2 linked regions of the Saccharomyces cerevisiae S288C genome follow. Changing the gene in region 2 together with the main gene of any one other region gives a genetic interaction. Each region holds a gene or a part of one and is shown on either strand. Other genes may lie near its edges.

Evidence for each region. Genes that interact genetically often act in the same process or in processes that back each other up.
Region 1: mutations in ACO2 (region 2) and BIO4 together harm fitness less than expected from each alone (positive genetic interaction), as found in Saccharomyces cerevisiae (one large-scale study listed by BioGRID).

Annotation. Positions count from the first base shown.
Region 1 is NC_001146.8:732,170-737,187, forward strand, and holds BIO4 (dethiobiotin synthase), read right to left. Parts: upstream 1,901-5,018; coding exon 1,187-1,900; downstream 1-1,186. Other genes in the region: BIO5 (Bio5p), read right to left, coding at 1-1,134; BIO3 (adenosylmethionine-8-amino-7-oxononanoate transaminase), read left to right, coding at 2,122-3,564; MNT4 (putative alpha-1,3-mannosyltransferase), read left to right, coding at 4,634-5,018.
Region 2 is NC_001142.9:55,184-61,645, forward strand, and holds ACO2 (aconitate hydratase ACO2), read right to left. Parts: upstream 3,631-6,462; coding exon 1,261-3,630; downstream 1-1,260. Other genes in the region: ECM25 (Ecm25p), read left to right, coding at 1-995; MBB1 (Mbb1p), read right to left, coding at 4,673-4,999; PHO90 (SPX domain-containing inorganic phosphate transporter), read left to right, coding at 5,661-6,462. UniProt on the Saccharomyces cerevisiae protein: Catalyzes the reversible dehydration of (R)-homocitrate to cis-homoaconitate, a step in the alpha-aminoadipate pathway for lysine biosynthesis.

The sequences.
Region 1 (5,018 bases), on a different chromosome or scaffold from region 2:
ACACATACATTGCAGGAAGACACTGAGATTCCTATTACCAGTGGCCTGGTAAAATATTTCTACGATAGGTAAAATAGACTCAACGACTGCCGTTTGGTCAGTGATGCAGAAAAACAAACCAACGCAATAAATAAAACTAGTTACAAAGCCCACAATGATGGTAGTGATAATAACTTTGGGAACTAAGAAACGTGACTTACTATAACCCACTTCATCAATCATGTGCGTAGCAGAGTCAATGCCAACAAATGCCCAGATCGGATTGACCAAACCGACAACAAACGCCATTCCAGACGAATTCCAGCCTGTTTGATTATCAAAGCTCCCAAATATATTAGAAGCTTTGGGCCATGGGTCTACGGTGTTGTCAGATCTTGAAACAATACAAATAATGAAAGTCATGGCGAAAGACAATAGAGACGTATAGAGCCCAAACTGAGAGATATAGGGCAACGGAGTTGAATAAATGTTGAAAAGTGTCAAAACGGCATTGATACACTCGTAACCCACAAAAACATGCCAGTGCTTTAACTCGTAGTCCGGATGCAACAACTTATGAATACCGATACAGCTCATTGACAAAGATGAGCAGATACTTGCGGTAGTAAAAATGGCACCGAAATAGTTCAGCAACCCTACAACCATGGAAGAAACCTTTTGAAATTTAGAAGAAACTTCCACGTTGAAAGTTTGACAATAATTCTCGAGGAACACTTCTTCATCATCGTCAGAAGGGTCCTCGTACTCAGGGGTTTTCAAAGTGACTGATTCTTGTTCCAACATTTTAAGAACCCAAAATGAACCACCGCTGCTGTTTGGCAGGATAGCAGCAAAATCTCCCAGAGATATACCACACATGAGACTGAAAAAAGCAGCAATTATCAACCCATAGATGATAAGCAGTGGCCCTCCACTGGCAATACCAACGGCCATCGACGCTGAGATACCGACCCATGAGCAACTTAATGAGAACGCGATACCTAATAGGGACCACCAATTAAAGTGCTTGTCAAACTTGACTTCTGACCTTTCTGAACTAGACATTCTTATTTCCGTCCTGTGACGATCTGGAACAATAGACAAAAAAAAATTTCTTTCATATACAAATAGGAACACTGCCCCTACTCTGTTCATACCATGCTACTTATATATAGCTGATGAAAGCCTTGCAACTTTTTTATTTAAACTATTCTACGTCTTGTTGGGTCATTAATGACTCCACCGATGGCAGTTCATGCAACTCCATATCCTGATCATGTGCCGTAGTACATTGTGCAACCTGTGCCATAATATTGACACCGAACTTCTTCAGGGCCTGCACGTTGCCTTCATTCGGTTCCCCATTGAGAATGACCCCAAAAAGGTGGCTTCTCAAGCCATTATCGCAAAGATGATTCCAAGTCAGCAATGTATGATTCAGAGTCCCTAGCCCGCTGCGTGCCACGACAACTACGTACACTGGATGGCCGCTAGTCTCAATCAGATGTTTAATTAGATCCGTCGTAATTTCCAATTTACGAGTGATAGGAACGCAAACCCCGCCGGCTCCTTCTACGACCAATGGATTCTCTGCGCTCCACTCTTCAGGAACTACGAAATCCAACAACCTGATGTCGACATTAGGTTCGTACTCCATGGCCTGGAGCGGAGATAGAGGCTTCTGCAGCGCATAAGTGGGCGTGAATATAGGTGGTTGCCAAGTTGATGCGGCTATTTTGAAATTTTTCAATGTCTCGGAGTCACCTTGATCTGACTCAATTCCAGTTTGTACGGGTTTCCAGTATGCAGCTTTCCATTTGTGTACCAATAATGTTGATACAAAGGTTTTACCAACATCAGTGTCTGTACCGGTGACGAATACAATTGGTTGTTGTTCTTGTTGTTGAGATTTGCTGTTCATGACCTGTGCGCTAGTGATTTTTTGAGTTCTTTTCACTGGCCTACTTGTGGAAAAAAGTATATCTCTTTATATACTTCAGTAAACGAACTACCAGCGGGATTTTATTTTGTTTTGCCCAATAATTTTGAATTATAAATAGCCATTGTTTGTATATTTCATTTTCTTTTGGTCGGGAGGATGTCAACAGCGCAATTCGTTTTCTATTGCTAGGATAACAACTAATGTCCCAAGAAATTTCATATACACCAGATGTCGCGGAACTGCTAGACTTTGATAAAAAACATATTTGGCATCCTTATACGTCATTGAGTTCACCATTGAACGTTTATCCGGTAAAGAGTGCTCACGGATGCAAGCTGGTGTTGGATACCGACTCACCAGTGGACGTCGAGGTGATCGACGCCATGTCGTCGTGGTGGTGTGTTATTCACGGGTACAATAATCCAGAACTAAATGAGGCCCTTACCAAGCAGATGTTAAAGTTTTCTCACGTCCTTCTTGGTGGATTCACCCATAAAGGAGCTGTGAATCTAGTCCAAAAACTTTTAAAAGTGATTGATGAACCCTCTTTGCAGTACTGTTTCCTCGCAGATTCTGGCTCAGTAGCAGTGGAAGTAGCTTTGAAGATGGCTTTACAATCAAACATGTCAGGGGAAGCTACTAAAAATAGAACAAAGTTTTTGACAATCAAGAACGGGTATCATGGTGATACATTTGGCGCTATGAGTGTTTGTGATCCTGAGAATTCTATGCATCATATCTACAACGATCGACTCAGTGAGAACATCTTCGCCCAAGCTCCCTCTATTGTCGATGGCCTTCCAACCAGCCAGAACGGTTTCGAGGACCATTGGAATGCAGAAGAAGTTACCGATCTCAAGAAGCAATTTGAATTGCATAGTGATAAGATCTGTGCTGTGATTTTGGAGCCTATCTTACAGGGTGCAGGAGGTTTGCGACCATACCATCCACAGTTCTTAATCGAAGTTCAGAAACTATGTAACCAATACGACGTTTTATTCATCATGGACGAGATTGCTACAGGATTTGGTAGAACAGGTGAGATTTTCGCATTCAAGCACTGTCAAAAATACCAGGACCAACATGGCATCAGTCCTTCCGATCAGATCAAAGTTGTTCCTGACATATTGTGCGTTGGGAAGGGCTTAACCAGTGGATATATGACTATGAGTGCAGTGGTAGTCAACGACAAAGTTGCTTCCAGAATCTCTTCTCCAAATAGCCCTACTGGTGGCTGCTTCATGCATGGCCCCACCTTCATGGGCAATGCCCTGGCATGCAGTGTGGCAGAAAAGTCTATGGATATACTACTGCGTGGCGAGTGGAGAAAACAAGTGTCTGCAATTGAAAACCAAATTTATAGAGAACTATACCAGTACATCAAGAACCCAGATAATGGGCTCATTGGAACTGTTGTTAAGCGTGTGTCAGTTATTGGAGCTGTAGGTATCGTAGAGCTATACAAGAAGACAGATCCCGAGTGGTTCCAGAAAAAGTTTATATCCAAGGGAGTACATATCCGACCTTTCAACTGCCTGTGTTACATTATGCCACCATATGTGATCACGACAGAGGAATTGACGAAGGTTAATCAAGTCTTGATTGAAGTATTACATGAGTGGAAATCCCACATAAACCAATGATATACGATCTCATCAAGTCATTTGCCAAGGAATTCTTATTTCTTGCGTAAAATGCATTCTTTTACGCTATTATTTATATTGATATAACTCAAAATAAAAAATTTATGGTTATTTATTCTAGCGGACCTTTATATCTTACTTTTCTTATCATAAAACTATGTCGAAGCCTGCTGCACAAGAGAAAATTGACTAGTTCAGGGCAAGAACGTATCACAGGAAGTACGAGTTGAGAAATCTGGACCGAAATGGTCCGTGGTCGCCTACCCGCCTTCTGTGCCATCACGGTACTCTCTTCTATGTTCTCCCATTAGCGCTAGTTACACTCCTCAGCAGCTGACACATCTCACGATCCTATCTTTTATTTATTATGAGAAGAACGGAAAAGATGGGATATTATAGGCTCAGCTTACTCTTCAAGCAACTACTGTTGAACCGGGTCGTACAACTCATACCTTTGAACCCTCTGGTAAATTTTTCCGGCAGAGTCAAGATTATTATTGAGGCAAACCTGTAAATTTCCTTCAGCATTTGATTATCTTCCGCTACTTGAAATTTTGCACTATATCTTCCTCTATTAACCTATCCGCAGTAACTATTCACAAGACCTTGAATGTAGTAAACGATGTCTATATAACTTAATATTGTGTAAGATCTTACAAGATGTACTGGGCCCAGGCTTTTCACGGGGATCAAACCGTTGCTCTCCTAGATGAGAAAACGCTTTGCCATCACACTGAAGTAGCATGGGCAGTATTTTCCCTCGAATATTGTTATTATCAAAGCAAGCAATATCAGCAGTAGTTTTTATTTCAACATATAAGATCACCTATGTTGCAATCTCTGCAAAATTAGTAATGTTACCCTCCAAGTAATTGTATGACCTCTCTTCTGAAGGTAAACATTGCGCCTCTTTGTTTAAAGCAGCAGCACTAGTTTATCATGGTTTCGTTACCTAGGAAAGGATCGGTAGTGCTATGTAACACTTGGAAAAGATGAAATTTGTTAACATGAAATTGAGTCCCTTGTGTTAAGGTAAAAGTGCCATCTTTAAAAACGTACTCTGCAAAAAATGGTATTGCGCATACGAAGAATTAAGAAACTGGCACCATTGATCTTCACATCATTGTTGTCTCTCATTGTTCTTTTTAGGGTCTACCGACAGTATCCATTCTCCGACCATTTCGAAACACGCAGAGAAGATGATCGCTCTGGCAACGTGCACTGCTTTTCTAGACTGCGTCAAATAGAGGAATATGAAAAGCCGGAATTGACAAGTAAATTCTATGAACCGAATAGATGGAAATCTTTTATATCTTACGTGACCAGGAGTCGCAAGGATGTGAAAACTGTGTCCCGATCGCTATCCAATTTGGATTTGTATCAAAAATGCTCAAAAGAAATCCGTGCTGATCAGGATATTTCCCTTCTTCATAGCATAGAAACCAAGTTGTTCC
Region 2 (6,462 bases):
CGTTACCAATTGTTGATGATCTAAAGTTCACAAGTGAAACATTCCGCAAAATTATTAAATTCAACCAATACCAGGACCTCTTTATGGTCATAATTCCTTTTTTTAATAGGATCATAGCGCATGGTGAATCGACTAAACATGATTCAAGGACCCTAAGTAAAGCTTTAACTCCGGCGTTATGTAAGGAAAAACTTTCCATGATGACTAATGATCGTTTAGCTATTGGGTCGAGATATATTAAAAATTTACTGGACTTTTTCCCCGAAATCGCGAAGGAAATATCATCACCTCCTTCATCCGTATCATCGTCTTCTACTATCCCTGTTTTGCCTAAGCCAAGGAAGTCGTCGCCAACCAGATACAGTGAACTAGGCTGCTTAACCCTTCCTAGAAGTCGAAGCCCTAGTCCACAAAGATCTGTTACGTCTCCAACGTACACACCTGTCGCATTACAAAATACACCAGTCTTGAAACCTAAGTCTTCAAGCAGAAATGTTTCATCCCCATCATTCAATGCCAAACCTCCACTTCCTATTAAGGCAGTTACACGACCACAACTGTCTCTAACTTCCAATTCTAATACAGATTTGGCATTAGCTTCTTCTTCTACAGATACATTATCCTCACCGACGAAGACTCCATCAGCAGACTCGCTTCCATTGAGTAACAGCAGCACCGATTTAACGATATCAGATAATATCAAAGAAATGGTTAAGGACGAGCCAGCAAAGGATAAAAATTCTGTGGAAACAGATATATTCGTACAACAGTTTGAAAGTTTAACCCTCGTCCAAAACGCGAAGATTAAGAAGTTCGACAAAGAACTACAAGAAAAGAAGAAGAAAAATGAAACTACTTCAAAGACAGCAGATAAATTCTCTCAAAAGGGATATTCAGATATTAAAGCAAGCAACAAGGTTAGCAGGCTAGCTGCATTGTACGAAGAACGTTTACAAGGTTTACAAGTAATGAATGAAATGAAACAAAGGTGGTAACTTACATAATTGTATCTTTTTAACACATACATATTGCATATACGACAACAAAATACCCCCCACCCTTGAGTTAAGCCGTAGTTGAAGCAGTCGAGATCTCGTGTATAATATTATATATCAAACAATATTACGTTTTTTATAGTAAATAAATAAATAAATAGGTAGGTTATTTGCACCGTCTATATGCAGAGTCTATAGAATTGTGTAAACTAGCTTATGACTATTAAATCGGACTCTTAATTTTTAGCTAATATCTCTTCAGAATTTATTCGTTTCTTCGTATATTACCAATATAATTGATTGCTGAACCAGCTTTGAAAAAATCGATTTGATCTTTAGACATAGTATGTTTTGCCTTGATGGTGAACGATTCACCGTTTGGTTTAGTAATTTTAACATCAATTTCACCACCGTTATTACCATCCTTAGCAATCATGTCAACTAGGTTCAACGTTTCTAAAACATCTCCGCTTGATATTTTATCATAGTCAGATTCGTTGGCAAAAGTCAATGGCAACACACCTTGTTTCTTCAAGTTTGTCTCATGAATTCTTGCAAAAGACTTAACTAAAAGAATCTCTCCGCCTAAAAATCTTGGTGACAAAGCAGCATGCTCTCTTGCGGAACCTTCACCATAGTTATGTTCCGCTATCACGGTCCATGGTCTACCGTCTGATTTCCATTTCATCATCAAACCAGGAATATCATATTCAGTTCCGTCAAGGTCATAAGCCTTGTTGACTTCACCGGTTTCTTTGTTTTGTGCACCAATCAATGTATTGTAAGAAATGTTTTCTAGATGGCCTTTATATTTCAACCAGACGCCCGCAGCGGAAATATGATCTGTTGTACATTTACCTTCAACTTTCAAAAGCACGTTTGTCTTCAATTCCTTCCCGTTCCAAGGTTTGAATGGCTCTAATAATTGCAAACGATCAGAATTAGGGTCTACCTTAATCTCTACATTGCTATCTGGCTTTGGATCCATTTCAGGATAAAATTTGTCTCTACCGTGTTCAAATCCTCTTTTTGGTAACTCATCACCCTTTGGTGGTTGGAATTTGAAATCCTTCCCATTTGGCAATTTAATTGAGTCAGTTAGCGGATTGAACTGAGCATCTCCAGAATAACTCATCGCTGTTACTATTTCTGGGGATGTTAAGAAATTCATTGTATTCCTATTACCATCGTTTCTAGCTCTGAAATTTCTATTGAATGATGTAAAAATAGTGTTCGTTTCTTTTGATGTTTTCGAGACATCTTCCCTATTCCATTGTCCGATACAAGGGCCGCATGCATTTGCTAAAACTTTGGCACCATTTTCTTGGAAAATATCGATGATTCCATCTCTTTCCAAGGTAGCTCTAATTTGTTCTGAACCAGGGGTGACAAAGAAGGGGATACGTGGTTTCAAGCCGGCTTTGGAAGCTTGCTTGACCAAGTCGACAACACGACTCATGTCTTGATAAGATGAATTGGTACATGATCCAATCAAACCAGCGCTAACTTTTTGGGGCCAGTTTTCCTTCAAACTTTTTTCGGCATATTGAGATATTGGGGTTGAAAGGTCTGGTGTAAATGGACCATTAACGTGAGGTTCAATTGCGGATAAGTCAATTTCAATAACTTTATCGTATTGAGCATCTTTGTCGGCTCTTAAGAAGTTAAACTTGTTTAAAGCAACATCAGCTGCTTCAGCGACCTCTGCTCTATTAGTTGCTTGCAAATAACGCTTGTGAGCTTCTTGGTAAGGGAAAGTTGACGTTGTAGCACCGATTTCAGCTCCCATATTACAGATGGTTGCCATACCTGTGCAAGATAGAGTGGATACACCTTCGCCGAAGTACTCGACGATATAACCAGTACCACCTCTGACAGTTAGTAAACCAGCGAGCTTTGTGATTACATCTTTAGGAGTGGACCATCCGTTTAACTTTCCGGTCAATTTAACACCTAAAATTTTTGGTGCTTTTAATTCCCATGGAGTGCCTGTGAGGGCATCAACTGCATCCGCACCACCAACCCCGATGGCAATAGCTCCCAGACCGCCTGCATTTGGTGTATGGGAATCAGTACCTAGCATCATTAGACCTGGAGCTGAGAAATTTTCCAAAACAATCTGGTGAATGATACCAGAACCTGGGCCCCAGAATTGAATTCCATATCTCTTTGCGCAACTCTCCAAGAAATCGAAAACTTCTTGGTTGGTAGCTATGGAAGAGGGTAAATCTTTAGTTTCACCGTCCTTACCTACAATTAAATGATCACAATGTATGGATGCTGGGACAGATGTTTGATTTAGACCGGTGGTCATGAATTGTAGAAGCGCCATTTGGGCAGAAGCGTCCTGCATAGCTACACGGTCTGGGTTTAGCTTCAAGTATTTATTACCACGGATGGTGGACAGATCAGAAGAAGTAATCGATTCTTCAGGATCGCAAAGATGCGAGTATAAAATTTTTTCTGCTAGTGTCAATGGAGCATTGTTTGTTATTTGTTTAATCTTGTCTAGGTTGGTCAAAAGTTTTGCATAAGGTGGCACTTTTGTTTGAAAATTTTTAGATACAGAGGGGAACATATTGGCATGTGTTGCCAAATGCCTCTTTATATAAAACCTATTAGCTGAAGATAGCATCGAATCTCTTGCTTATTGCTCTTAGAGTTTTATGTTTAAAGAAAGTCGAAAATTCTTATTTTTGCAAGTGCGCAAATCGAATAATACGAAAAGATGAAAATATTTTAGTTTATATACATGTTTGATGCCATACCATCTATTGACATAATCTACGATGTGAGAGCTGTATGATATTGTGGAACTTTGTATATATTGAAAAAATTTTCCAGTGGAATTTTACTCGCGATGACTCAAGAGCGTGAAAAAAAAAAAAAAAAAAAAATTAATTGCTAAAAAATCAAATATATGCTTCCAATCGGATTTGAACCGATGATCTCCACATTACTAGTGTGGCGCCTTACCAACTTGGCCATAGAAGCTTCTATTTTATATTTGCCTGACCTATTTTAACGGTTATATTCCACAAACATTTTAATCATGAAGCAATTTTTTTGATGTTGATGTGAGAGTAATAAGCACTGTGCTGAGAAGAGGATCAACAACATGATATTCTACGGAACGTAAAGGATACAATGTTATTGGACTAAGAATCGTCTATCATCTTAAGAAATGGGTGGATGATCGGACAATTATTGAGAAGGTTTCATTGTGGAGAACAAATCGCAATATTGTGCAATCCTTTAGATATGTCAAGATAAAATACTAGGGAGGCTTCGCCCATTCATTAAAGAGTATAGCTACCGCATACTGTTTAGTAGTATACTATCACATGTGGTGTAAAAAGATAACATAAAGATTGAGAATCAGTCATCAAATGTAATGGAAGCTGAAAATGCAAGGATTGATAGTGTAATAGGAACGAAACATATGAAAACGGAATGAGGAATAGTCGTATTATTAGTATGTATAGATTCCATTTGAGAATTCTTATATCCTCGAGGGGAACTTCTAGTATATTCTGTATACATAATATTGTAGCCTCTATCAACAACGGAATCCCAACAATTATCTCAAAACTCACTTATATCTCACAAAACACTCAATAGCGACCCTTAAATGTTACTGAACCTCATATTGTTTCGCTCTGCTCCCTTATATATTGTTAATGCAATCGGGACAGCTCACTGACTGAACGGTGAATAGTGGCTCCCGGAAAGCTGAGAGTTGTGAACTCGCCACCTCTGTTAAGTAAGTCGTAAGCTGTTAAAGCTGCGTCACGAGTAATGAGCTGCCAGTTCGGCCTCTGATCGCTGTACTTTATGGTAAAAAGATAGTTCCTAGTAGAAGACGAGTCATACTCGTAAACAAGCACCGCTGGATACTCTTCTCTATCAAGACGTAAAGCGTACTTGTAATCTCTAAGTTCGCCAATCCAAATTTCTGATATGCCACTCATTATCCTCACCCCACATGCTGACACCTTATACATTCAATATCTCCCTTCTCCTACTTAACCTTATGTTACCCTTTTTTTTTGGCTTGCATTTATATTTGGTTTACATAGCAACAACCGATAGCGGGTAACAGCATTAAGCTTCCCATCTCCCGTTCACTGTTATTACCTTTGGCACGTAAAGGGCCGGCTAATAATGTCGTATTTCCACTGATTTGGATGTATGTTGCATGGTGCTAGATTGTGAATAAATCATTTCCACTGGTTTCTAGCAGAGGTAAGAAAATCAGTAGTAGCGGCAGCAGCCAAGAAAAATGGCAGCCTGGCAAGCAGCGAAGGCCATCTGTGCTGCATTTCCACACTCCTTGTATGACTGCATACGCATAAAGAGGTGCCTTGCTGTAGGCGTATATGATCCTAAGCAACAGAGAAACCACGGTTCTCTTCTCTTCTTATTTCGTTATTGTCTTCCCTTTTTACTATGGGTAAAGTCGCCCTAAAGCGGGGCGCTCACAATATCGCCGCAGCTACAGCCGTTTTTTTTTTTTTTGTTTTTTTTTGCGCTGCTTCTCGAAGAATGAATGGCTCACTGAAAAATTTTGATTCATCGATATAAAGAACACTGTTCACTTCGATGTCATCCGGCCAATAAAGTTGTTTTTAGGATAAACGAGTAAGTGGTAGCTGGTACAGGATCATGAGATTTTCACACTTCTTGAAGTACAATGCTGTCCCAGAATGGCAAAACCATTATATGGACTACAGCGAGCTGAAAAATCTTATTTACACGCTACAAACAGATGAACTTCAGGTTGGTGATAACGAAGAAGGATTTGGCGCAGGAAAGAGCTCTAACATTACAGATAGGTTCAAAAACAAGTTTTCTTTTAAAAATGCGAAGGAAGATACGTCTTCCGGTATGAACAAAGATGCAGGCATCGTTGAGGAAACCATCGAGTTGCGAGAGTTGCCTACTGCTCAGACGGTCGCTGCCAAACCTTCTCCTTTCAGAAGAATGAAGGAAAAGATATTTTACAAAAGAAGGTCGTCTTCCGCATCGTCCGTCTCCTCCACGGCCAACGAAAATCTGCAATTAGACACTTATGATACGTTTGTTGGTGATTTAACAGCTGAAAAACAGAAAGTAGATGATTTTTATAAGAGGACAGAAGCGAAGTTCTACGACAAATTTGACGCGCTGGTGAAGGACCTGAAGAAAATCGGAGTTATAGAATACGATATCGACGATGATACTCTGTTTAACGAACCGATTGCCAGCACAAATGACGAAGTTCCCCCACTAGACTTGGATGATGACGAAGACGACGACGAATTTTACGATGATCAATCTAATATTGAAGATAATACTGCTTTGCTGCATCATTCGCAGTATAACATTAAGTCTCAGAAAAAATCGCTGTTGAAGAAGTCGATCGTAAACCTATATATCGATCTTTGCCAGTTGAAGTCGTTCATCGAATTGAACCGCATTGGGTTTG